Linked DNA regions of Danio rerio. The protein of the gene in region 1 interacts with the protein of each later gene in a biochemical or structural test. Links are inferred from orthologs where the notes say so. Each region holds a gene or a part of one and is shown in the gene's direction. Other genes may lie near its edges.

Region 1 (3,618 bases):
ATATTTCGGTTTTGTACATATGTTTTGTGTGGTGTTGGTAAGGTTTTGATTGTATGTTTGTTTATATGCAGAGGGTTTTTTGGTATCCACTTTAAGTCATCAAAACAGGACCTGGACAATCCATCCTCATATCCACAGACTTTTTCCATCCACTTTTCTACTGATTCCGTGGCCAGCCATTGATGAACTGTTTGCTGAACTTGATCTTTCATGTGATTCACTTAAGGACTGTTGGTATCTTTTTTGGATTGCTATAAATACTGGATTCAATGAGAGACACTTATCGAATGCTTATTTCTGTCTAATAGTGATCATTAATGAGTTGACTGCTGATCATTTCATATCCCCAGTGTGTAACAATAATTATTCATACCTGCTGTCATATACATTTCTAAATACACATGAATCTCTGAAAGTTGTTTTGTGGTCTCTCAATTTCTTTAATGTAGCTTCAAAAAAAAGTAGTTGTTACAACGTTACATGATGCAGTGTATCTTTGAATGAATATATATTCAAAGAGATTTCAATGAACTATTCTGTATTAACTATGCCTTCACTTACAGAATGGTCATTTTTGGGTGAACCATGCCTTTGATTTAATTAATAGAAGTCAGAATGTTATACTCAAGTTATGAGTAATGACAGACTAGCCCTTTAAGAATGTTTAGGGGTGCTAATAGTTTTGACCACTTTGTATTTGGGGAATTTATATTATTAGGGGCCAAGCACCGTAGGTGCATAGGCACCTATTGCTTTCGTTAGCATTCTTCATCTTCTGTTTCTTTCGCCGGATTTGAATGGCAGCCCATATAGGCGTATGCGGGAAAGTTGTATAATTTGGCACAATCATAGAGGACAGTCTAAACATTAATCAGACCAAATATGAAGTCTCAAAATCAAACTCTAGTGCCACCACTTGTCCAAACATTCACGTATGTTTATCATAACTTTTGAACCGAATGGGCTACAATCAAAATTTCAAGTTGATTAGATCAAGCGTTTTCGTTTAACTTGCGATCAAATTTAACGTAGAACTTGCGAAAATGGACTTGAGTCGATATCTCTGTAACGCATGCACCGATTCACACCAAACTTGGTGTGTGTTATGACAACTAGGGTCTGAGGTTATGCGGAGTTTTGATGCACTGCCCCCTAGTGGTCCGGAGATACAAACTTGCTTTTTTGGTTTATAACTTCTCAACCTTTCGTCCGAAACTCTTAAAACTGGTCTCATTACATCCGGCAGAGCATGTCGAGTCGAATGATGTCTGATTTTCACAGGTCAGCCATTTTGGGCGTCGACCATTTCGATTTTTGACCAAAAATGCTATATTTTAACAACAACTTCACATATCATCACAAAACATGGTACACATCTTCAACCCCATGCCCTGAAAGTACTCTCAAACTTCTGAAGCAGCGCCACTTTTTGGCCAAAAGTGCTTGGGGCCCCCTTAATTGCTGCTTGCAGCTATATTTATTAATATTATTTTTTTTACATTTTCCTCGTTATTTTTAATTACAATGAAAGGTAATGTCTGTGAATTCTTCAGCTCATATATGCCAAGGTGGCCAATACTTCTGATAGTGAATGTAGTGTCAAAAGCACAAGGAAAGTCATTGATGACCTGTGTGTGTGTTTTCAGCGGAGGACTCTGTGCTGACGCTCTGGAGCAGTTCTCTTCCACTGGAGGCTCGAGATCTGATGCGACACTGTGAGCTCCGAGACAAAACCACCCGCAGAATGAGAGAAACGCTGCTTAATTAAACACCATCTCCACACAAAAACATCAGAATAAATCCGCCATCGACAACTCCCTGTCAAACTAAACAGCATCAGGTGAATTTGTGCACAAAAAACCCCAAGTCCAGCGTGTAGCTGAGCGTGGAAATGCTTTAAAAAGGGGATGGTTCACTCAAAAATGAAAACTACGGCATTAATTATTAGTCACAAACCTGTTAAACTGACTTTCTTTAGTTGAATAAGAGAAGTCAATGGTTACAGGTTTTCAGCATTCTTCCAAATATCTTCTATGTTGTTTTTCATACTATGGAAGTCAATAGTTACAGCATTTTTCAAAATCTCCTTTCGGGTTCAACAGAAAACAGAAACTCTTAACAGGTTTGGAACCACTTGAGGGAGAGTAACTAGACTAATACAATTACTAACTCATAAAAAATGTGCTGAAACAACTGAAATTCTCGGGAAAACTTGCTTTTTTACTTGCGTTTTATGTTCAACACACTAAGTTAATCGATTTGTGTCTGAACAACTTGAATGTATGGTAGTTTTGTTTACAGAGTAGCGAGTACATTTCATTTTCGGGTGAACTGTCCCTTTAAGAGTGTTTAAAATGTCTCCGAGCAGCTTTTAATGCGACCACAGCTTTACTAGTCACGAAAAGGGACCCGAAATCCATTTCAGCTTCTTTAAATAGCCAAGGGAAATTTTCATTGTGGTGAATATATCATAAATGTAGCTCGTATCTCAGATGTAGCTGTGATTCGGATTGTATGGAAGCTCATATGAGGACGGAACCAAAACAGCACTTGATTATGTTAGCCTTATTATTTTGTAGTATTTATTTATTATTGGTTTAAAGCCATGTGAAGAGGAGGCGGCCATATACAATGCATCTGTGATAATGCATTACAGCAGTCATCATTCTTTCCCCCATTAATGGATGATACATTAATAATGAAAGCATTAATGCTGGTTGTGAGATTGTGAATGAAGGCAATGTAATATATCACATGATGACATTATATGGTTTGTGGAGACAATCTATTGCTGAGACTGGAGCGATTTACGTTAAGCTAATAAACCACACTACACAATTTATGATTTATTATAATCATGTTATTTATGATGTCCGCAGCGAGCCTTTTTTTTATTATTATTTTTTTTATTATTAATTAACTTCATGAAGTTGAGCACAAACATTATAACTGGAGCATAAGCCATAGATTAAAAGCTATGATTATGATTATTTTGGTTACTGAAATGACCCTTCACTGTTACATTTTTGTGATTTGTGGGAATGTAATTATTATTATGATTTATAATCGAATGCTGCATGCCACGTATGTTTTTAATAAAGCTGCCATTTTGTATGATAATAGTATTTTTTTCATTCATTGTAACAAACGTCCTGATCATGTAATGGCCACTTTATTAGGTACACCTGTCCAACGGCTTGTTAATGCAAATTTCACATGTCAGCAGCTCAATGCATTTAGGCATGTAAACATGATTGAGACGATCTGCTGCAGTTCAAACAGAGCATCAGAATGGGGAAGAAAGGGGATTTAAGTGACTTTGAACGTGGCATGGTTGTTGGTCTGAGTCGGGCTGCTCTGAGTATTTCAGAAACTGCTAATCTGCTGGGATTTTCACGCACAACCATCTCTAGGCTTTACAGAGAATGAAGGAAATATCCAGTGAGCGGCAGTTCTGTGATAGCAAATCGTCATACTCGTCACAACCCAGCTCTGCAGAAGAGCATCTCTGAACACACAACACGTCCAACCTTGAGGCGGATGGGCTACAGCAGCAGAAGAGCACAGCCTACCTGAGTATTGTTGCTGACCATGTTCATCCCATTATGAGAACTGTCT
Region 2 (3,500 bases), on another chromosome or scaffold:
GGTGTCAAACTCAGTTCCAAAAGGGCCGCAGCTCTGCACCGTTTAGTTCCAACCCTAATTAAACACACCTGATCAAACTAATTGAGTCCTTCAGGCTTGTTTGAAACCTACAGGTAAGTGTGTTGGAGCAGGGTTGGAACTAAACTGTGCAGGGCTTCGGCCCTCCAGGAATTGAGTTTGACACCCCTGTAGTAAGAGCTTCATTAACGAGATATAAACTTATCCAGCATAAACTTAACAACATCCAGCATATGTTTTACGCAGCGAATGCCTTTCCAGCCGCAACCCATCACTGGGAAACACCATGTTTTAAGTTGTATTATGAAAATATTTTTCTGTCAATGATGATTTTTAGAAAGATGAAAGCAGACGGCACGTGGAAGTGTGTGCTGAGGCTGGAGTCATCGTTCAGAAGCTGGCCAGTCGGATCGCAGAGGACGGAGGCGCAGCCTTAATTGTAGACTATGGGCATGATGGGACAAAAACTGACACTTTCAGAGTAAGTACCGCATGTAGAATCCCTCTTAGGTGTTCTCAATCCGGACCTGTGCTGGTCATTTGAAAGCTAATGTGTTATATTAGGAGTTATCCAACTCAATCATTCATTCCCTTTATTAAGTCCCTTTATTAATCTGGGGTCGCCACAGCAGAATGAACCGCCAACTTATCCAGCAAGTTTTTATGCAGTGGATGCCCTTCCATCTCTGGGAAACATCCACACACACATTCACACACACACACTCATACACTACGGACAATTTAGCCTACCCAATTCACCTGTACCGCATGTCTTTGGACTGTGGGGGAAACCGGAGCACCCGGAGGAAACCCACGCAAAGGCATGGAGAACATGCAAACTCCACACAGAAATGCCAACTGAGCCGAGGTTAGAACCAGCGACCTTCTAACATTCCACCAACAAACAACACCCCCACCCTTCAAAAAAAAAAAAAAAAAAACATTTAGTTTTTGTCTGTGCTTAAATTTAATGACTTATTTCATATACATTTTTGGATATTTTATGCAGATGCACTCCTCTACAATAAAAATCATCCCAGTCATTGTAAAACTGTGAATTCTTCTCAGTTACTTATGTAAAATTAAGTACTTAAGTAAATTATATTCATATCAAAATGTACACTCACCGGCCACTTTATTAGGTACAGCTTAGTAGTACCAGGTTGGTCCCACGTTTGCCCTCGGATCTGCCTTAATCCTTCATGGCGTAGATTCAACAAGCTACTGGAAATATTCCTCAGAGATTTTGCTCCATATTGACATGACAGCATCACACGGTTGCTGCTGATTTTTTTGGCTGCACATCCATGATGCCAATCTCCCGTTCCACCACATCCCAAAGCTGCTCTTTTAGATTGAGATCTGGTGACTGTGGAGGCCATTTGAGTACAGCGAACTCATTGTCATGTTCAAGAAACCAGTCTGAGATGATTCATACTTTACAACCATGCCACGTTCAAAATCACCTTTCCTCCCCACGCCGATGCTCGGTTTGATCTGCAGCAGATCATCTTGACCATGCAAGATGAGTTGCTGCCATGTGATTGGCTGATTAGAAATGTGCATTAACGAGCAGTTAGACAGGTGTACCTCATAAAGAGGCTGGCGAGTGTATATTGCAAAAATACAAAATATTGCTATGACAGTTTTTTCCTATGTCGTGCAGCCCTAGTTTTACATGTATTTGAATGTCTCTTGCTGTATTTGACGTCACAAACTATTTCATTTTCATTACCTTACAATAAAATCCATACAGAACAGCTTGATTGGAAATTTACTGCATAAAAATAGAAGTTGAGCACAGAGAATACAAGAGAAGGAAATGCATGTTAAGTTTTCACATGCAAAATACAGATATAAAATGTTATCTAGTGTCATTTTAAGCAGGGTTTAGCCATTAATCAGTGTCCAGCTGTTAGTATTAGTGTGGTCAGGATGATTAAACTGTTTTGTTTGCGTTAATTCTGCAAATAATTGGCCTATTTTTAGTTGCTAGATCTGATCATTTATTTTGTGTTTTTCACCATGTTTTGTTGTTACAATTCATTCCTGTGACAGGGTTTTAAAGGCCATCAAATCCATGATGTATTGGAGGCACCCGGCCTGGCAGATTTGACCGCAGATGTGGACTTCAGCTACCTGAGGAAAATGGCAGGTGACCAGGTGATCTGCTTGGGACCCATCACACAGAGATCTTTCTTGAAAAACATGGGCATTGACTCCCGTATGCAGGTGAGAATGACAGCACTACTGCCTTTGAACTTCTAAAAAATGATGACGTGACAGGAACTGATTTCATCCTATGAATTGGCTTAAGTTGGTGTCACATGGATGACCTTCCGTGATCCAATATCTTCTACTGTGTTCAAGAATGAGGGAAAATCTGATTTGAAAACTGAATAGTATCACTATTTCTATTTTGGGGACTATTCCTTTGTCACCTTCATTTTTACAGCACATTATACACTAGAGATTTACAGAAATGCACGGTACAATACACAATATGGGCAATTCTACTCTGCCCTAGTGTAACGGAGGCCAGCTAGTGTGTGCTGTGCAGGTAAACCTCACTCCTCTGACCTCTAAAGGTGCTCTAGCGACAGATGCTAGAGGCCATGGTCTTTAGCTTCCTTGTTAGAGCAACAGACTTCCATGCGGAAGGTCGCTGGTTCGAAATCAGCTCGGAGCGGGTTGGGTGGCGTAGGACCGGTGGGGTTACATTGGTGCCGTGACCTGGATGGGAGTGAGGTTTGGGGGGGGGTGAGAGTAACGGATGCCAGCTAGTGTGTGCTGTGCAGGTAAACCTCACTCCTCTGACCTCTAAAGGTGCTCTAGCGACAGATGCTAGAGGCTATGGTCTTTAGCTTGCTTGTTAGAGCAACGGACTCCCATGCGGAAGGTCGCCGGTTCGAAATCAGCTCGGAGCGGGTTGGGTGGCGTAGGACCGGTAGGGTTACATTGGTGCCGTGACCCGAATGTGAGTGAGGTTTAGGGGGGTGAGAGTAACGGATTCCAGCTAGTGTGTGCAGGTAAACCTCACTCCTCTGACCTCTAAAGGTGCTCTAGCGACAGACGCTAGAGGCCATGGTCTTTAGCCTCCTTGGTAGAGCACCCGACTCCCATGCGATAGGTCGCTGGATCGATACCAGCTCGGAGCAGGTTGGTATCGCAGGACCGGCGGGGTTACACAAGCATATGAAGAGGAATATTATTACATGAATGAGGGAAATCTTACAAACAGCCGATTTTATGGATTTTTTTAGGCTTATAATATTCAACCAAGTATTTCTGAAGATGCTCAATGAAATAGATTTAATGAAATGATGTGGCAATAAGTAAACCTAAATCTTTATGTACAGAACTATCCATGTAGTGTATGTTAAAAAGTGACAGCAGACGCTATTGAATGATATTTTGAAAGTTGTTGAAGAGTTTGGTTTGGTTTTGTCATTCTCTGCTTTAGGTTCTACTGAGCAGTAATG
Region 3 (3,500 bases), on another chromosome or scaffold:
TGATTAGAGCACTTTTTTATATTGTTATTAAAGGTAAAAAAAAAGAAATATTATATATATTTATATATATATATATATATATATATATATATATATATATATATATATATATATATATATATATATATATATATATATATATTATACACACACACACACCAAGGTGATTTCAATTGCAGCCTTTTTCCTAAAACGCTCTTTAGCTACCTATTTAAACCCTACGTTTATGAATACCCTGATGTTTGTATTAAGAAATCTGTGTGTAACAGTTTTGCCTCTGAAAGTAAAACATGTATTGTACTCTTGTGTCTCACAGGGGTGGCTCTGATTGATGTTGGAGAAGCCATGCGAGAGCTTGGTGAAGTAAAAGATGCTTTAGACATGGAGGTCAAACAAAACTTTATTGATCCCTTGCAGAATATTCATGATAAAGACTTAAAGGAAATCCAGGTGAGACATGAAAACTCTTTAAAAGCAATAGTTTTGTCATTAAATACAGTCATCCTGTAAGACTCTTTTATTTAAAAAAAAAATCTTGTTTTGGGACCTCTGGGGGTAAAATTGTAGTTGCTTTTCTTTTGCATAGTGGAATTTCATTGTAGAATAGAAATTACAAAATAGAAAAAATACAAATAAAAAAAAATTGTAAAAAAGTATATTGTTCTGGAAACACATAATCCAGACCTATTTAAATGCTCTGAAATAGTTCTGAGCTGCATTTTAATTCAATTAGTGTCACAGCCTAGCATTAATCATGGCATTTAGTGACTTGCCATTACAACTCATATAAATAGCTCCAGTGCCAATGTTCTGTTTCAGTTTTCACATTTAAATGTGGATTGTTTTTGTGAAGTTGTTGGACTGGGTGTGGGAGAAAACAATATACAGAACGTCACACCCAGCAAAGTGCTTCATCCCATTATGCACATCAGCAAAAAGACCCATTTAATCCCAAGGTTAATTAGGGCTGTATTGGGTTTTATATTTTTAGCCTTTCAACCACAATAATACCATCATTTCTGTGTTATTTGTTCCGTATATACACTCTAATTTCTATAGTAGCTCAAGATGAAGTAATTCAACTTTTGAAAAGGAGTCTCAAAGTGAACATTTTTGAATATTGTACCTTCTCTCAGCTAAACTACACAAGTGTACTTTTCACAAAAAAAACTAGCATGTCATAAACAACCATATTACATTTAGTGTATACTCTTGTGCTAGTTTTTGTGTGCATGCATGTTCATGGATCTGCATGAACGAGGTTCAGTTTGGCAATGTTACTGCTTGTAAAAGTAAAAGAACAGTATTCCCCATAAACAACCATGAATCATTATTTCATGATATTGGTTCAAGGTCTAATTTATTCCGTAATGAATTAAGAACTTTATAAATGAATCATCATTCGGATTCAAAAATAAATCTTTAATTTAAATTTTTTTTTTAATTAATTGCAGTAATTAACAATTCAGAGACTCTAGTAAATAACTTTTATAAAAACAAATTTCTTTGCCTATTCAGAATTGTAGGACAAGCATAATTTATACTTAAACATTTAAAATTTGCTTGTGAATCTTAGATTAGTGGCATGATTATTTAGCCCAATTTTGAAAGTTCACAGTCCCAGCCATTTAAAGAGTTTGTTCATTCAAAAGTAAAAATCATGCTAATTACTCACCCTCATGTCAATCCAAATGAAGAGATTTTAGGTGGAGCTCCCTCATCTTCTGTCAACAGCAAGGTCCCTAAATTGTCCAGAAAGGTAACTTCGATGAATGAAATTCAGCTACAAGAATAAACATAAAAAAAATACATTTATTCAACCTTATCATCAATGTTTGTTTATTGTACACATATATCACCCAAATCCCCCAGTGTCTGTCTACAGCTTCTGCTTTTTGAAACAAAGCATCTGAGTTAATACATCAGTGGCACGACCAAGCACAGTATGTGATCGTGCAACCTTTACCATCACTGAGGAGAAGAAACAGTTGATTAAAGTCAATTTTCTTTATGTGCGCACAAAAGTATTCTTGTAGCTTGAAAATGGGAGCTAAAATCTGCAGGACACCGGCCCTCCAGGAACAAGTTTGGTGACCACTTCTATAAAGGATGAGGGAGCTCTCAGATTACACCTGAAGTGTCTTAATTTGTATTCAGAAAATGAATAAATATCTCAGGCCGTTTGGAACAACATGAGGGTGAGTTCTGTTAAACTAACGCTTTAATGGAGGCACTGCATTAGAATTAACATTGGTGTGACGGAATGTCACTAGAGGTCAGTAACTGAACAGCAACATTTTCATTTTCCATGTTTCATGACAGCATCACCTGAAGAAGCTGGAGGGGCGACGATTGGACTTTGACTATAAGAAGAAAAGGCAAGGAAAAGTCACAGAGGATGAGATCAAACAGGCCCTGGAGAAGTTTGACGACTCCAAGGAGATTGCCGAACAAAGCATGTTTAATCTTCTGGAGAACGATGTAAGATCTGTGACCTGTCCTGTGCCTGCCCTTGCTCACCATCCATTTCATGCTTCTGTAGACTCTGATTGTACTTTATCTGTGCTTTTTGTGTTATATGCTGTATCCAGTGAGTCTTTCTTTCCTCTTATCTCACAGGTTTCACCCCTTTTCCATTAATCACTGCATCTCATCCAATGGCTATGTTTACATGGTTGGCAGTGTGATTGCTGCCAATACTCAAAGTAATGATTAAGATGTTAACATGACACGGGCAAACCTTTTCAGTGCCGTTTACATGATTCCTGCTATTATTAGGATCATTTGTTAAGAGTTATGATGTTTTTGCTTTAAAATAGGCTCCAAGTGCTCCTGGCGTACATGGACCTGTTGGCCAGTCCTAGGGTACACGGTCTCCCTCTTTTCCTAGAAGCCACACTTCTGGGAAGCTCAGAAATCTGAGATTATGCATATAACATTACATAACATGGGCATCATGTGTTTTATTGGTGATCGGAAATGCCAAGGTGGTATATTTCTGAACATCTAAGAGCATGATGCCAAGAAGTGTGGCTTCTTCTGATCCAGCATGTTTTCGACCCATGCATGAGCGTTTAGTCAGATGAAAAATGCAGTGCTTTACATATTTTACTGTGACTTATGATAACTCCAAACATGAACTTCATCATAACCACAGTATTGTTTACATGAACTCGCTTGCAGTACTTCATGGTACTGTCGTAATTACATTGTGAGGGTGCATGTAAATGTAGCCATTGTTTGCTAGTCTTGAACTTCATATGTGATCATCGAGGCGTTATTTGTGTTCATGTGTTACAGTTATTAATGTTCTAACTGTGTTTCACCAGATTGAGCAAGTGAGTCAGCTTTCTGCTCTGGTCCAAGCTCAAGTCAACTACCATAGACAGGCGGCAGAGATTCTTCAGCAGCTGTCCAGCAAGATCGAGGACAGGTCTGGATCCTAAAACAAACCATAGAGTTAAAAGTTCTAATCTTTAGTAAACAATTTATAAAGGGAT
Region 4 (4,133 bases), on another chromosome or scaffold:
ACATTTAAAATACTTTTGTTTGATCAAAAATGTCATTCCAACATTAATATTGTGAAATAATATTTCAATTTTAATTGTTTGCATCGTGTGTGAATACATTTTAAATGAAAATTTCGTGATTCAATGTCAAATTTCTCTCAGGCATTCAATATGTTTTTATTATTATGTTTTCTAATAGTATTTGTATAATAATTTAACATTATTATAACTGGCAGCACAGTGGCTCAGTGGTTAACAGTCACCTCACAGCAAGAATGTCACTGGTTCGAGTCCCCGCTGGGTCAGTTGGCATTTCCATAGTGTACGGGTGTTTCCCAGTTTTGGGTTGTGGCTGGAAGGGCATCCTCTGTGTAAAACATACGCTGGATAAGTTGGTGGTTCATTTCGCTGTGGTGAACCCTGATGAATAAAGGGACTTAGCCGAAGAAAAATTAATTCAATAAATATTATTACTATTATATAGTTGTCATTTTCAAGATTATTATATATCAAATACAACCTTGGTGTGCAAAAAGAAGCTAAATCAAAAACATTAACAAATCTTTATATATCCAAACTTTTCAAATGAAGAGTTCAGATGCAAAAACCTCTAAATCCAGAAGATTTCTTTCAAAATTAGCTTTTTTGTGTGTGTGTGTGTGTGTGTGTGTGTGTGTTTATGTTAATATTTCGGTGCCACAGTGGTTAGCACGATTGCTTCACAGCAAGAAGGTCGCTGGATCGAGCCAAGGGGCTGGGTCAGTTGGCATTTCTGTGTGGAGTTTGCATGTTCTCCCCTTGTGAGCATGGGTTTCCTTCGGGTGCTCCGGTTTCCCCCACATTCCAAAGATATGCGAGACAGGTGAATTGAATAAACTAAATTGGCTGTTGTGTATGAGTGTGAATAGAAGAGTGTCTGTAAGAGTGGGTGTTTCCCAGTGTTGGGTTGTGCCTAGAAGGACATTCGCTGTATAAAACATGCTGGATAAGTTGGCAGTTCATTCTGCTGTGGCGACTCCTTATTAATAAAGGGACTAAGCTGTAAAGAAAATGAATGAATAAATTAATGTTGATATTTCATGTTAAAGACAATAAAACCTATTCTTTAGCATAAAGTGAAATTAATTAATCTACACAAGGAGGCGTCTAAACTACTCATTCTAGCAGAAGATATCAGACGACATTAAGAGGCCTTTACATGTGAACTTCATATGTTTTATTGGAAATGCATTGACTATATTTCAGGTGTATCCTCTGCGGCTGTAGTCTTTCTCTCTGTCCGCTAGGCGGCCGTGTGGCTCTTTGTTCACCCACACAGAGATTGTGGCTGTGACAGATTTTTTCCCATCTCTTTGATTCATCCTGATACACAACAACACACTGGCTGCTAGTTCCCTTTCAGTGGGGATTTCAGGCGCTGAGCATGAACACGCCGACTGGGTCCCAATCGGTGTCGACAGAGATGATGTACGCCGATGTATACAGTCTTTTAAAGCCCAAGGAAATGAGCGACTAGTGTTTATATTTAGGATAAAGGGGAAAACGGGACGGATTGGGAACGTGCGCTGTGGAGTCTGCTTCTGTTCACCTAGAGTAAGTAGCTTTGTTTTTTACACCAGCTTGAATTTACATACAACTCTGAGGGTTTCACAATATATTTAATGGTGGCATTATTAGGATTTAGTTTATACGTTGCTGAAATCGCTATATGGGTGATTTATGGTTGCTTTACACGTCTTTGTTTAGAGTACTGTTGTTGAGCAGTGTGTTGTGAACTGCTGCGGCCTCCAGTTTTATTTACACTTCAAGTGAACGTGTTTATATGCGTGATAGGAGATTTCTGTGTTTAAATATAGACAGGGAATTCCACATCTTAAATCTGGGAAGTGCTGCCCTTCTGTCATAAATGTGGTTGGTTGTGCTTCAAATGCTAGTTCGCTCTCTAACGTTAACTAGACTGCACGTTTGGGTATTACTGACGCGTATTAATTCGGCAGTTATGTCCGATTCTTCAGCGAATCGTTATTTTGAGTCGGTTCGTTTTACTGAATCGATTAAACATGACCACTCGTGCACCAAATGAACGTAATCGGCTCGAGTAGTTTTTGAGTAAACGTGCGTTATACACGAGTACACTATAGCAAATAGTACTAAAATGATACTTAAGTTAAAGTATTACTTGCCTAAAATGGAGTGTAAGTAGAGTAAAAGTGAATATTACTCAAATTATGAGTGAAAAGTAAACCTTTCATAAGTACTCAAGAGTAGTGAGTGTTATACTATAAAAGGCTGATGCATTCACATATAATTTGTGGATGTGTGTAAACGTAACATTCTGTAGTGCATTTGGTTATTCCCTAGCCAGCACACAATCTCATAAGACGTTAATAATTGGTTAGATTTAGGTTGTGACGTCAGGTGACCAAAATTAAATGTCTAGCCAGCGTCTAAGGACAATGTTATTTTGATGTCCAATTACCACGTCAAAGTTTGGTTGATTTTAGGTAATACCTGTCAACATTGGGATGTAAATATAAGGGATATGCCCACCATAATAAGGGACTACTACCCCTCACCCCTGTTTCTAGTTAAAGCAATATTATTTTCACACAGCTGCTTTTTTAACAATATCTTCCATAAAGTACTTTTGCACATTCATACATGCAAACCTTGTAAGGAAATGCCATTTTCATATTTTGAGACGCAAAACATCAGTGTTTAGCTTGTGAAGCACATTTTGGGGTTCAAAGGTCTAGATCTGTCTGGCAGCCGTAGTCCTGGTTGTTGAAATGTTATTAATGATGGAGGAGGCGGTAAAGGTCTATCAGTCGGACAGCTGGTGCCACTCCTCTCCCCTTAAGTGAAGTCTTGATTTGCATATGGCTACTGACCCTGTTTTTTCCCTTCTTGAAGATGCCGGAGGGTTTGATGGACTGATCGTATCCACTTAAACACCTCCTATTTTGTATGGCATTATCCTATTGAAAGCTTTTAAGAATGTCTCTTGTACTGCTCCAGAACCTCAGAGTCTGGGGGTGATGAACTGGATGTAGATTGACCCCTTCAGATGATTCTCTTTATATAGAGCACAGCAGCTTCCAGAAGTAAATACACTATTGATTTTTCTCCATACAATAGAAATTGATTTCTATTATTGATTTTTATCTTGCATAAAAGCATTTAAATATGTTATTTCTAAAAAAAAAAAAAATACAACCAACTGCTTAAATAAACATTGTCATTATTTTAATTAACTGCATCTTCTGTTATTTTGTACTTGTTTTCTCCAAATTATAGTGGAAGGCTTGGTCATAAATCAGAAAGGCTAAAAAAAGATATGTATTTTTATGACTTATTTTATCTTTTCATGAGCATGTAAATAATCAGAAACTTTGTCGACAGAGAACAGTAATGCTTTGAGACATATATTCGAAGAGATTTATTCCTAAATCTGTTTATTTAAAAAAAAAAAGAAAAAAGAAACTTGTCACTATTGGATGTGTTTAAGCATCTGTATTTTTAATTAATTACTTTAGGACAACCGGTGCTTCCCACACATAGACTTCACGTGGGCGGGCCATCCAGATATAATAACAGCCACCCAAGTATATTTGGTGAAATTTTTTTATTATTATCATCCTCTTTTTGTGTCCGCACATCAGCCAAACATCCGTGATCGATTAACTAGTTTAAAATCTCCTCTAGACCTACATGTTTCCTACTTCTCATTGTGTGTGCACAAGAACTGTCAAAAGTCCCACAATCTCAAGTGTTCCGCAGAGACCCACAGAGACTCGCCTTTTGGGGACTTAATAATGCGTCATTTCAGGGTGTCTAAATCTTCTAAAATGTCCGAGATTCGGCTTTTGATTTCGCTTTGCACAGCCGCAAGACAGAGTTTATTTTCAATTTACTCGGAGAGGGCAAAACTACACCTAAACTGGCTGCAAAATATATGTACATGGTTAGGGGTGGTTAATTAACTCATTTGCCCTATTTAAATAATCTGTATACTCCGGTTTCCCCCACAAGTCCAAAAACATGTGGTATAGGTAAAATGGGTAGGCTAAATTGTTCGTAGAGTATGTGTGTGAATGACTGTGTATGGATGTTTCCCAGTGATGGGTTGCAGCTGAAGGGGCATCCGCTGCGTA
Region 5 (4,101 bases), on another chromosome or scaffold:
ACCAAAAGCACATCGAAACAACCAAATATAATAACCTAAATTACATTTTAGAAAGATCTTTACATACCGTCCAATGTCAGCGATGGCCAGAAACTTAATGCAGGTCACACCAGTTTCTCAACGTCATCGACGGTTTTTCGAACACATTCTTTTTTAGAACGCCACTGAATATGGTAACCACAGCAACGCCAATACGCCGCCTTATTCAATTATCTTAAAGGTGCAGTGCGCAATTTTCGTGAAGCACTGTAGAATATAATAATAATACTAATAATTTTAAGTATGTGGGTCCCTGTAACACTATCTTTTGATTATATTATCTTTTGAGTAAATAATAGCAACTTTAATTCTTAGTTTGATTAACTTTTGTATGTTTATATTCTATTTTATGCATGTGTGTCTTATTTTTCAGACATATATAATCTGTATCTAACATGTATGTAATCTCTGAAAAATATATAGTTCAGTTAAGGCCACCAGAGAGCAATGTAGTCTCAACTTTAGTGTCTCAAAATATAGGCTAAATCATATATATGTAATAAATAGCTAGACGCCTCGTGGTCTGCTTCGGTGTTGCTCTGATACGTCAACGCGGCCGCCATCTTTAATCTGGTCATCAGTGCGCTATAAACAGACACAACTGAACGGGGAAGCTGCTGTTTTCTCGGATATAAAATAACGCTTATATTTATTAACTGATTATAGTTTTATAGTGTGAAAAAACTTCAGTTACCTATAAGTAAGAAAGCTGAAACTTGCAATGTATATTTTAATGTATAAAGAGAGCTGTATTTTAAATAAATGTATCTATAGTATCCCCTTTACCAAAAATAGTTTTATAACAGTTGACAGAAAGAACCCCACATTATTATAATAGTGCAAATTCTTTACAATATAATGTAAAATAAAATAATATATATTTATCTGAAAATATTAATTAATAAAAACAAATAGAATATGAAATAGTATGTGTGTGCTTTAATAATAACTATAATTCAATAACAAGTAACAATACTAATAGACCATTGCATACACCATTGGCTAAAATGAACGCATAAAAGGTCATTTATGTCATTGGCAGTGACTGTTTTGCAGGTTTGGGTGTGGATAGTTGTGAAAATACAAAGTTAATACGATTAAATAATTACTCGCCTCGTTCTAGCAGCTTGATTAGAACTGTAAGCGGTTGTCAGAAAGGAGGGATTTTGTTACACTACCTGGCATCCTGACTATGCCGACGTCACTGTTGACAGCCAACCAGCGCGACTTCAGCAGCGCTACCCTTGACCCTGTACACAACCATGGCGCTGCTCTGCAGATCAACAGGGTTACTTCTCAAACACAGCAAACTGCTGCCCTCTGCTTTAGCAGCGACAAGGCAATCCAGTTCAGGTAATTTAATCATGTGTAGATAAAAATTATCGCTTCGTTTTCAGGATCTGGAGTTTTGTTGTGAATGGAAACTTGCGTCATTTGTCTGCTCTGGTTTTTTGTTACGTTACTGCTGAATGTGTTTGAGAGTATTATTGAGGTAAAGTTGGTCTTACTTTCACACATTTAGACTTTCTTCTTTTATAATATAATTTCAGAAAAGTATTCAATTCTAAGTTGTGAAATAATATAAGCAGCCACTGACTATCAAAGTACACCACTGTTCACAGTCAATCAAATAGTGCTAATGTTTTGAAGTCATACTTGCATGTTAATTTAGTCAGAATATTCAAAATACTGTGGTAAACAACATATAAGGAGCTGTCACTGAACGAATGTGCGAATATGAAACCAAATGTACCTCAATGTTGAGAGTTATAAGGAACAATTAGCTTTATATGAAGAAATAAAATTAGTGTCAGAGTCAGACTCTGAACAGTTTTCACTCAGGAGCGATAATAAATTGTAACAACCAATGCAAATAGATGGAGAGTTTACTTAAAATTTGAAGAACGCTCATAATCTTTGATCAACATAAATAAAAAAGGCATTTTGCATTGTAGTAGCTTCATGTATGCTTCTGTTTCATTTGAAACACTTATTTCAAACTTAAATTTGAAATTATAGAGATATATGTATACTCTTAATGCAGGGGTCACCAACATTTTATAAACTGAGAGCTACTTCTTGGGTATCGTTTAATGTGAAGGGCTACCAGTTTGATACACACTTCCTAATAACAAATTTGCTCAATTTACTTTTAATTATATGTTATTAATAATCATGTTAATGATTTATCACAATAGTTGTCAACAATGATTGGAAACAGATAAATATCAATCAATGCAAGTGTGATTTAAAAAGAATAGCTACAAAAAGTATTAGATGCAGCTTACTGGTATGTGGTGCTATGGTAAGCTAATTTTATAACAGGCCCACGGGCAACTCATGTGATCCTCAGGGGCACCATGTTGGTGACCCCTGTCTTAATGAGATTATTAGGGATATCTCCAGAATTAAAAGCTGAGTCAGCAATGCTGAGATCATGTATTTTTTATAATCATTTATTAAAAATCATATGGAGCCAGTGTGAGTTACTTTGACCCTTACCTTCATGTCTTTTGCAGGTGTCCAGTATGAGTACATTCTGGTGGACAAAAAGGGTGAAAAGAAGAATGTTGGCTTCATCCAGCTGAACAGACCAAAGGCCCTGAATGCTCTTTGTGATGGACTCATGCTGGAGGTGGGCAAAGCGCTCGATGCATTTGAGATGGACAGTGAAGTGGGAGCAATCGTCGTCACCGGGAGTGAAAAAGCCTTTGCAGGTGTGAAACTGTAGGTGAAGGCAGTTGTGTTGTATTGAACTGATTTGAAACTGTTGTTGTGTGTTTTATCTGCTTTGATAGCTGGTGCTGACATTAAAGAGATGCAGAATCGAACCTTCCAAGAGTGTTATGGTGGAAACTTCTTGGCACATTGGAACAGGGTATCAACAGTCAAGAAGCCTGTTATTGCTGCGGTCAATGGGTTTGCGGTGGGTAAATGTTTTTAATGCATTCACCTAAAAGACTTTTAACATTAATTTACATTTAGGCATAAACATAATGTCTTCTCCAGCTTGGCGGAGGATGTGAGTTTGCTATGATGTGTGACATCATCTATGCTGGAGAGAAGGCACAGTTCGGACAGCCAGAAATCCTGCTTGGGACCATTCCTGGTACAATAAAGCATCCTTTCATGATTTTTCAGATTTACAAATGACAAAGAAATATAAATGCAATACTTACAGATCACAACATTTCATCTTTGTATTGTTCCAGGTGCTGGTGGCACTCAGAGGCTTACAAGAGCAGTTGGAAAATCCCTTGCGATGGAGATGGTTCTCACTGGAGACCGAATCTCAGCCCAGGAGGCAAAACAGTCTGGTTTGTCTTTTAAATTTACTTTTGCACTACAGCCTTTTTCTTCTTTTCTTATTTTAATATATGAACTAATGTATTCTTCTATGTAGGCCTGGTTAGTAAAATATTTCCTGTGGATCAGCTGGTTCCAGAAGCGATCAAATGTGGAGAGAAAATCGCTGGCAATTCCAAACTGGTCTCAGCCATGGCAAAGGAATCTGTTAATGCCGGTAATGCACTTTTCTAATTAAAACAGATTCATGCATCCAAATTTGACTACAAAAAATGTATATGTATAAGTTTTGACAGTTTTAATGACTTTTGTCTGCAGCATTTGAACTGACTTTAGCTGAGGGCAGTCGGTTTGAGAAAAGATTGTTCCATGCAACCTTTGCTACGGTGCGTCACTTTTCTTCCATTTATTCATTTCCTTTTTTGAGGAAGAAAAATGACTTCATACTTAAACTTGTTGTGTTCTCATTTTTAGGAGGACAGAAAGGAGGGCATGTCTGCCTTTGTTGAGAAGAGAAAGGCTGCTTTCCAGGACAAGTAAAATTCCAGTGGAAAAAAAATGTGGTGACTTTTAAACCATGAATAGTTTGGGATCAAATGCTGAAGTTAAAATACTCAAATTTGCCTTAATTTTCTCATCAAGCATTTATGGACAACAAAAACATGAAGATTTATGAAACTGGGTTGTTTAACTGTAGTACAGCGAGTTCACATTTAGCTCAGATGATCTATATACATAAACTTTTTAATCATTGTC
Region 6 (4,036 bases), on another chromosome or scaffold:
CCGCGCGGACGTAAATGCGTCTGACTGTTGTGATTGGCTAAAGCAGACGTCTCACGTCAGCACGTTCTAGACGTGCACGCGCTTATTACGGGAATCTTCCTTCTGCATTCACACAGCGCAGCATTCCGGCAAATTGCCGGTAATGTTACAACTTCTGTATCCGGAAAATAGCCAGAACGAATTTACCGGTATTTTCAAAAAGGACCTGTTCACACGTACAACCTTTCCGGAAAATTGCCGGCAATTTTCCGGAAAGGTCTGTATGTGTGAAAGGGGCTAATGACACTCTATTAAGCTCCAAAGAGGTTTACACTGCAACTGAAATGAGAATCAGCTTGTACTGAAAGTATCTATTTATCTATATATACACAGTTAACAGTGTCCTGTAGAATCTACAGTAACTTACTGTAAAGAAATTACAGCAAAAATACTATATTTATTTACATTTACAGCAACATTTATCTTGCTGCATTTGTATTTACAATACTGTATGCCTTTACTTTAAAATACAGTCATTTTCCCAATGCAACTTGAAAATACAGTAATATGTTACATAACTGTCCTTCAGTAAAATTCAGCTCATATTACAGTTAAATACTATTTTATTTACAACAAACAGTGAACATCTATCTAGCATGGTTGCATTTCACCTCTCAGATTCAGCAACTTTAAATGCTGTGCATACAAATGAAGTAGAGATGCTGAGGTCGGCAGAAACAGAATGCAGAAAGTGAGACCAAAAGCAAATCAGAGGTGGTAAAAGAGTGTGAAAACTGAGATAGAATGAAAAAAAATGTGTGTGAAAGAGAGAGAGGAGTGTGAGGAAGAAGGTGGAGAGCGAGAAGATAAAAAAAGGCAGAGGAGGGATGGTGTATTTCTTCCACACTAGGAGAGATTCCACACACTCTTGGTTTTCGTCGTCCTCCCGTGACTGAGCGCTGTCTGTCTCTCCAGGAAATACTGCCGCAGCTCCGGCGGGTCGGGGTTTCAGAAGACCAGAGAATTGGATTTCAACGCCGCAGACAGGCAGGGACAGGTGCTGCAGGCGGAGAAAGGAGGAGCAAAGCAAAGCAGAGACACGCTGCACCGCTTCAGAGGAAGAATTCTGAAACAGCTGTCCAGCAGACGTCCTGCCTGCGAGAAGCAAACCCTCAAGGGCAGAAAGAGCGAGACAGAGAGGAGAGGGAGAGAGTGAGAGAGAGGAGACCAAAACGGCAACACACTGCACCACCCAGAAGCTGACTAACAGTTTAGGTCAAGACACCTTCAGGACGGCAACTGCAGAGTGAGGATAACAGGGAACCATTCATTTGCAGGTAAAAATGGATTTCTAGCACGGCATACTGTATGCATGAAACAAATGGCTTAAAAATGACATGCATGGGCTTATGTGTGTGTATCAGATTTTCTTGTTGCAATTAAGCTTGTATATGACATTACAATTAGCCACCAAACTGACAAAATGTAAAATACGTACATTTCCACATGAGACCAGGCTGGATATTCTCATGATATTAAACTAAGCTGCACAAAAAACTTTAACCTTGTATTGCATTTTCATGTTTAGAGTAAACATATGTTTCAACCAGATTCATTTGCATAGGATTGTAAAGTACAATTGGTAACACTTTACAATGAAGACTCATTACTATAAATAGAATAATAACAAAATAATATAAACTTAATGTATTGCATTATTGTATTTACAGTGCTCAGCATATCTGAGTACACCCCCCACAAATCTCTCATGTAAATCAATATTTTCTATAGGTTTATAGAAAATAAGCTCTACAGTATTATTTTTGTGCCTATACATTAGATTAGTCAGTACTAAAGCCAAATCTGGAGCTTATCTACCACAATAACTTACAATAATGGTTTAAAAAGTAGTAGGCCAAATTTATGTTAAGAAAAAATACGAAATAAAATTTTCAAAATTAGCAAAAATCAAGAGAAACAAAAAAATATACAATTTTCTTGAAATGTTGTAGGTTTTTTTTTTTTTTTTGCAAAATTTTAATGTATTTTCTTTCATTTCTAAAAGTGTTCTGTGAATAAAATATTATTTTATTAAATATATGTTTAAAAATCAGTTTTGTTCCAATGAACCAATATATATTACCCATATTTACTGTGAAATAAATTCATTTTCAAAATGGGGTGTACTCATACAGTATATGCTGAGTACTGTACTGGTGCAGAGTAAACCAATGCAAATTAAATTGCAAAACTAAAGTACAATTGGCAACACTTCACAATGAAGTCTTATTACTCATTATTTTAAATAGGATATTAAGAAAACAATATATAAAATTAATGTGTTGCAGTATTACTACAGTACAATTGGCAACACTTTACAATAAAGTCTCAAAGTAAACGTTAGCTATTTCATTCAAATAAATTGAGAAAAAGACAGACCTGTTAGTTACTATGTTAATATTATTTACAAAATACAACAGAATTTTACTATTTAACACATATGACCTGTAATGAGATTACGACTTTGAATTTAATGTGTTATTAGGCATTAACTAAGAGGTTAACATCACGTATACGTGTCAGTGACAGTTAAATGAACTAATGTTAATTATTACTTATTGCGCAGTGTTAATGTACAATGAATAGAACTTCCAATTAATATTTCAGCATGTATAGGCCAGATTTACATGTGACAATGTTCATGTTCGAACTGTTAAGCTAATTAACCAATTAAGTCTCTAGTTATTTGGCACTGCTATGAATATTAATTAAAAACACTCTAAAAGATTAAATAATAATAAATAACCATGTATGATATTTTGAAGTGATCATGATATCAATATTGTGCATTAAAATTATCATAATGAATATCAGCATATGTGTTTACTGTTAATATTTTTTGTAAATTAAATAGTATTTAACTGTAATATGAACTGTATTTTACTGTAGGACAGTTATGCAGTGTGTTACTGTATTTTAAACTTGCATTATGAAAATGAGTGTATATTTTACAGTAAAGATATACTGTAAATGCATCTACAGCAAGTAAATACAGTATTTTAGCTGTAATTGCTGCCAGTAAGTTACTGTAGATCCTACAGTAAACTGTTAACAGTGTAGACATGCATACACTCATACGGTGTAATTCTCGAGTGCAATCCTCCAACAGATAACATGAGATTGAGAAATTGTCAAACTCATCTACCATGTGGCTGTTATTTGCTAGTTAGTCTTGTGAAACCGCTTGCACATGGCTGTCATTACAATATGCGAGATCTGGCGCTGCAGAAAATGTTGAGCAAATTCCCTCGCACCACAAAACATGGGCCGAGAAGCGCAAGGCAATCCGACACCTGGTTCTTCTTCTTCGACTGCTTGACCAGAGCTTCTGAAATTCCTCGGATACATTCCTGCGTCCTACAGACTTGGATAGCATGCAGCACGCCAAAGACAACAGCAGCTTGAGAACAGAAGCCTTGGAGGTGGATGACAGGGTGTAAAAAGCACGAAGCTGAGGCGAAAGAGACCTCGCTCCACCCTGGTTCCTCCAAAAGCGGCAACAAAACCCAGAGTGTAATTAGGGGTTGCTTTATGTAACACACTGGAAACCTCAAATTGGGCCGAGTGCGGTTTTTGCCTTTAATCATTTAGAACATTGTCCAACAGGGTCGTTTGTGGTCGGAGGAATTTGAAAGATTGAAAGCTTAGGCCTGAAACACCCAAAAGAGAAGGAAAAACCCCCAAACCACCCAAGAGAGGAGAGCTTGACCGGCTGGGATTAGCTAGACATATAGCTGTGGGAGATTGCACCTGTAAAAAAGAGCAGCCAAAGGATGCAGATGTGCTTTAAATGCAGCGTCATCATTGGCTGTTTCCATACAAAGACGGGAGTTGAAGCTAATGCGCAAAGCTGAAATACCGCATGAATCAAAGCATAGCCATATACGTATACATTTAGTGTGGTAAGAGATGCCACTGTGGGCCATTTTCTTATATACACTGTTAGACTTTTACAGTTGTAATATACACTGTACATTACATTTTACAAACAAATATA
Region 7 (4,040 bases), on another chromosome or scaffold:
ATATATATATATATATCACATAAAGACAAATTATAATTTAGAATTTAATAAATATATTTTTGGTAGCTTATAAACCAGAAATAATCTCTCTCTCATCATTTTTTTGGGCAAATTATTTTCATGAATTTAAGTGTATTTTCTTTCCATTTCTAAAGATGTTCTGTGACGAAAATATTATTTTATAAATTATATCTTGTTTAATAAATCCGTTTTGTTTAAATGCACCTATATATATTACACATAATCAGTGAGAAATGGGCAAAAATATGCATTTTCAAAATGGGCTGTATATACATAAATGCATAAACGAGTCCAACCCCTTTTGAAAATGAGCATTTTTGTCCATTGTTGGGTAATGGGTATATGGGGAATTTTGTGCATTTGAACTAAACAGATTTATTAAACAATTACAACATTTATAATGTTTGGTCACCGAACAACTTTAGAAATAGAAAGATAATAGGCCTACATTTAAATTCAAATAGGTCATTGCAAAAAACAAAACAAAACAATGTTTTACTATTTATGTTTCTCTTTTATCTGTTTATTAAAATTATATTTAATATTTCCACCTGATGTATCAATTTATTTTCGCAAATGTATTATAATATTTATCTATCTATCTATCTATCTATCTATCTATCTATCTATCTATCTATCTATCTATCTATCTATCTATCTATATCTATATCTATATATATATATATATATATATATATATATATATATATATATATATATATATATACATACATACATACATATCTATGTGTGCGTGCGTGCGTGCTGGTCAAACGTCTGGGCTCAGTGAAATTTTTAAAGCCTTGAACTCACCAAAGCCAAAGACTAGGAACTTTACTGAAGCTACTATTATTGACCGATTCATTTAATGCAAACATTTTTAAATAAAATATATTTTATTGCGTTTTAAAGAAAATTCTTGTGCTGCAACACATCTGCAACATCATCTGTGGTATTTGTTTTATTATTCAAAAGGGCAGCATTTAGGTCTACTTTAGACAAAATTGCTGTAGCAAATAGGCTACATGTGGTCACATTTGATCCACTTATTACGTCTTTTCTGGGCATATTGTCAGGCTCAATTATATACATTGTTTATATTCTGTTTTTACGTGAAAAACTTACTTCCTCCTCCTCTCCGCAAGATGGCGGCTTTCCAAAGTCGTCATGAAGAATGACGGAACTCTCGCGATATTACAGCGCCTCTCCTGCTTTCTTCCTTTTCCGGTAGTCTCTGAAGATGGTAGGTTCATGTCTTTATTTCTGAATAGCTACATCACATTAATCCAAAGCAATCTGTCGTATATACAATGCGAATCAGAACATTAAACACGAGTGAGATGTGTTTAAGATTTAGTGAATGTTACCAGGCCACTATTTAAGTGTTTGGGATGAAAGATTAGGTAGATGTTCGTCTGATTAGCAGCTTCAGTCTTGCGCTGCATTTCTCAGTCCGGCATGATGGATCCACGGGAATTTTTAATACGTTATTTTTGAGTGGCGTTATGAAGCACCGCGTTTTAACGTATTTAGTCGTTTATTTGTTATTGAAGTCACGGAGAGAGTCGCGGTAATGTCTCCCAGCAGCGGCTAACAGTGGTTGTGTTTCCCGCAGGCGGACACTGAGCAGAAGAAGAAGCGTACCTTCAGGAAATTCACCTACAGAGGTGTGGACCTGGACCAGCTGCTGGACATGTCCTAGTAAGTAAAAATTAAAAACATTTTCGCTCCACACAGTTAGTAAAGACAAAGCTTTATGTAAACTTTTTTTTTTAACTATCATAGTCTGATGTGATGCATTTCAAAGTATACTTGTTCGACGCATGCGCAATAGGTCATATCGTGGGACATTTCATTCCTAGATGTTTAGCGATCATATCTTAAGGTATTGCCAAGCCATGTAACGTTAGACATGTAAAATTATCGTCCTGCTGATTAACTAACTGCTGCAAAATGTGAAAAGTATTCCTTTCATAATTTGTTCACCTTCAAATTTATTCCAAAGTTTTGAGCTTGTTTTAAAGAGTGTTCGAGTGTTTTCACACCTGCCTCATGTAGTTCGATTAAATGGCACTAGAGTTCATTTTCCCTCTCGGTGTGGCTCGTTTGGGCAGGTGTCAGTGTAGCAATCGTACTGTAGTAAGCACCAAAAGCATACCAAGATCTCCTGAAAGAGGTGGTCTCGGTGCACTTTCAAACAGACCTCGTTTGTGGTGAATTATGATCCGAATTTAAACTGACCCAACCGCAAAAAGTACTGCGCCTTTTTGGACTAATCCAGCTGCCGTAGGCCGATGTGCTGTGCATCATGGAATGTGTAGGAAAATATTTGTTGACAGCGCTTTATCGAGAGAGAGAGAGAGGGAAAACCATTACCTGATGGATCGTTGGTAATATTTCCGGAAGATGACCATGTTGCAGTTTAGCTAAATTAATTCACGCCTCCTCCTGAAGTGACGTGCGATGCGTCTTTGCCGTTTGCAATGCATTAAAACATTTTCCAGCCGCATTTCATTTTCGAAATGTATAGTCTGTCCATAGTGATGTATTCAAACTATATAGTATACTATAAGCAGGGATACAATCAGTCAGCGCAGTCGTAGCTCCATATAGTCAAAAGCGACATGTTGTGTTCACCAGTTTGTTAACTGCGGCATTGGCATTATCCCGCACGTGAATTCTGACCAATCGAAAAGCAGTTTAGGAAATGTGTTCAATAATATCTGGCAATGAGTGATGTGGATTTTATCAGATGACTCAATTTTGGTTCTTTTCTACTGATTCGGACCAAAGCAATCAGTGTGGTGTACAAATAACCCAAAAACAGAAGAAAATGCTACAGTGTATCAATTTTTGCCCTGCGTCCAGACCAAAGGAACCCAACTACAGACGTGAAAGCACCCTTAGAAACTTTTTGCCACTGGCGAACATTGGATACCAGTGTCCAACATTTTTAAAAATATCTACATTTTCTTTTTAAATGGAGTATAAGAAACCCCTAAAGGTTTGGAGTAACTTGAGTGTCAGAAGATTTAGATTTTTGGGGTGCACTGTCGCTTTAACTATGCGCAATATGCTGATCCTCATGTCAATTGTTGGAAAGTCGTAAATGAAACCGGAACAATGGGCTAAATGCACAGCTAGTGTTTTTCAGCCAATGATAAACTTTTGGTGAAAGCTTAACGTGACGGTTTTCAATTTCATAAGGTTTCTTTTACACCATCGATGTTAATGTCATTCAGTTTAATAGCCTGCTTCAGGTCCCGTTTACACTAATACGTTTAGTTTTAAAACGGTGTTTTAGATTGATAATGATCTGCATCCACACTAGTGGTTTACCTAGTTTCTGAACCGCTCTCCATCCATACTACAGCACTGAAAATGCACATCACGTGACCACACACACACTCAGGCATGCGATGCAGCGTATGTGTACGTCTGAGCTTCAGGCAGTCATCTACTCAGATGAGAGCAGCGCATGTCGGACTGTTCATCAAGGATCTACCGCTGGATCTAGTCTCACTATATTTGTTAAACGTGATATTTAATTTATCTCGTTGTCTATATCTAACCACATATTCCCCGACTTTGGTCTTTTAAATCTATTACTTGTTCTCAGGTTATGTGTTTTAGCCAAGCGCAGAGATAAGTTAATATATTTGTTTATGTAAGCGCGTACACTGATTCTGCACATTTGACTGATTGCTTGCCTTTATTTCCTATATTGTTTAAACTTATTGTACGTTATACTTTTATAATGGCCATTATTGATTATTAAAACACTGATATTCAGCTTCAGAGAGGGCATGTTTCGTACCGTGAATGACAATAAAAGGAGGCAGTAATGTCATGGGCTCTGTTTTGTTATGCATACAGTGAAGATGACATCATATAAACATGTAGCTACACAGCGCCTCAACATTTCTGCTGTCTGTTAAGTTGCTAATATCAAAATAAAAATAGGCTGTTTCTTATGTTTTCATTTTATTAAGAAAGTGAAACAACGTAGCCAGGGTGAT

What was found.
Region 2: the proteins of lrrk2 (region 1) and ndufaf7 form a complex in vitro, tested with the Homo sapiens proteins (2 studies listed by BioGRID and IntAct, with this or other methods). The link is inferred for Danio rerio from reciprocal best matches to the Homo sapiens genes LRRK2 and NDUFAF7.
Region 3: of the proteins of lrrk2 (region 1) and sh3gl2a, one has a biochemical effect on the other in vitro, tested with the Homo sapiens proteins (2 studies listed by BioGRID and IntAct). The link is inferred for Danio rerio from reciprocal best matches to the Homo sapiens genes LRRK2 and SH3GL2.
Region 4: the proteins of lrrk2 (region 1) and cuedc1b form a complex in vitro, tested with the Homo sapiens proteins (2 studies listed by BioGRID and IntAct, with this or other methods). The link is inferred for Danio rerio from reciprocal best matches to the Homo sapiens genes LRRK2 and CUEDC1.
Region 5: the proteins of lrrk2 (region 1) and echs1 interact on a protein array, tested with the Homo sapiens proteins (2 studies listed by BioGRID and IntAct, with this or other methods). The link is inferred for Danio rerio from reciprocal best matches to the Homo sapiens genes LRRK2 and ECHS1.
Region 6: the proteins of lrrk2 (region 1) and cdc42ep3 interact on a protein array, tested with the Homo sapiens proteins (2 studies listed by BioGRID and IntAct, with this or other methods). The link is inferred for Danio rerio from reciprocal best matches to the Homo sapiens genes LRRK2 and CDC42EP3.
Region 7: of the proteins of lrrk2 (region 1) and rps15, one has a biochemical effect on the other in vitro, tested with the Homo sapiens proteins (2 studies listed by IntAct). The link is inferred for Danio rerio from reciprocal best matches to the Homo sapiens genes LRRK2 and RPS15.

What each region holds. Positions count from the first base shown.
Region 1 is NC_133200.1:38,184,587-38,188,204, reverse strand, and holds the end of lrrk2 (leucine-rich repeat serine/threonine-protein kinase 2), read left to right. Parts: exon of another isoform or gene 1-415; intron 416-1,646; coding exon 1,647-1,768; 3' UTR 1,769-3,118; downstream 3,119-3,618. UniProt on the Homo sapiens protein: Serine/threonine-protein kinase which phosphorylates a broad range of proteins involved in multiple processes such as neuronal plasticity, innate immunity, autophagy, and vesicle trafficking.
Region 2 is NC_133195.1:3,386,615-3,390,114, forward strand, and holds part of ndufaf7 (protein arginine methyltransferase NDUFAF7, mitochondrial precursor), read left to right. Parts: intron 1-355; coding exon 356-499; intron 500-2,076; coding exon 2,077-2,250; intron 2,251-3,481; coding exon 3,482-3,500. UniProt on the Homo sapiens protein: Arginine methyltransferase involved in the assembly or stability of mitochondrial NADH:ubiquinone oxidoreductase complex (complex I).
Region 3 is NC_133176.1:28,387,946-28,391,445, reverse strand, and holds part of sh3gl2a (SH3 domain containing GRB2 like 2a, endophilin A1), read left to right. Parts: intron 1-316; coding exon 317-450; intron 451-2,322; coding exon 2,323-2,481; intron 2,482-3,329; coding exon 3,330-3,433; intron 3,434-3,500. UniProt on the Homo sapiens protein: Implicated in synaptic vesicle endocytosis. May recruit other proteins to membranes with high curvature. Required for BDNF-dependent dendrite outgrowth.
Region 4 is NC_133190.1:33,835,355-33,839,487, reverse strand, and holds the start of cuedc1b (CUE domain-containing protein 1b), read left to right. Parts: upstream 1-1,333; 5' UTR 1,334-1,572; intron 1,573-4,133.
Region 5 is NC_133188.1:27,793,886-27,797,986, forward strand, and holds the start of echs1 (enoyl-CoA hydratase, mitochondrial), read left to right. Parts: upstream 1-1,301; coding exon 1,302-1,392; exon of another isoform or gene 1,393-2,085; intron 2,086-2,425; exon of another isoform or gene 2,426-2,545; coding exon of another isoform or gene 2,546-2,558; coding exon 2,559-2,756; intron 2,757-2,837; coding exon 2,838-2,965; intron 2,966-3,048; coding exon 3,049-3,148; intron 3,149-3,251; coding exon 3,252-3,356; intron 3,357-3,442; coding exon 3,443-3,562; intron 3,563-3,663; coding exon 3,664-3,731; intron 3,732-3,819; coding exon 3,820-3,885; 3' UTR 3,886-4,101. UniProt on the Homo sapiens protein: Converts unsaturated trans-2-enoyl-CoA species ((2E)-enoyl-CoA) to the corresponding (3S)-3hydroxyacyl-CoA species through addition of a water molecule to the double bond.
Region 6 is NC_133188.1:45,680,713-45,684,748, forward strand, and holds the start of cdc42ep3 (cdc42 effector protein 3), read left to right. Parts: upstream 1-1,236; 5' UTR 1,237-1,316; intron 1,317-4,036.
Region 7 is NC_133186.1:6,052,589-6,056,628, forward strand, and holds the start of rps15 (small ribosomal subunit protein uS19), read left to right. Parts: upstream 1-1,240; 5' UTR 1,241-1,261; coding exon 1,262-1,264; intron 1,265-1,636; coding exon 1,637-1,722; intron 1,723-4,040.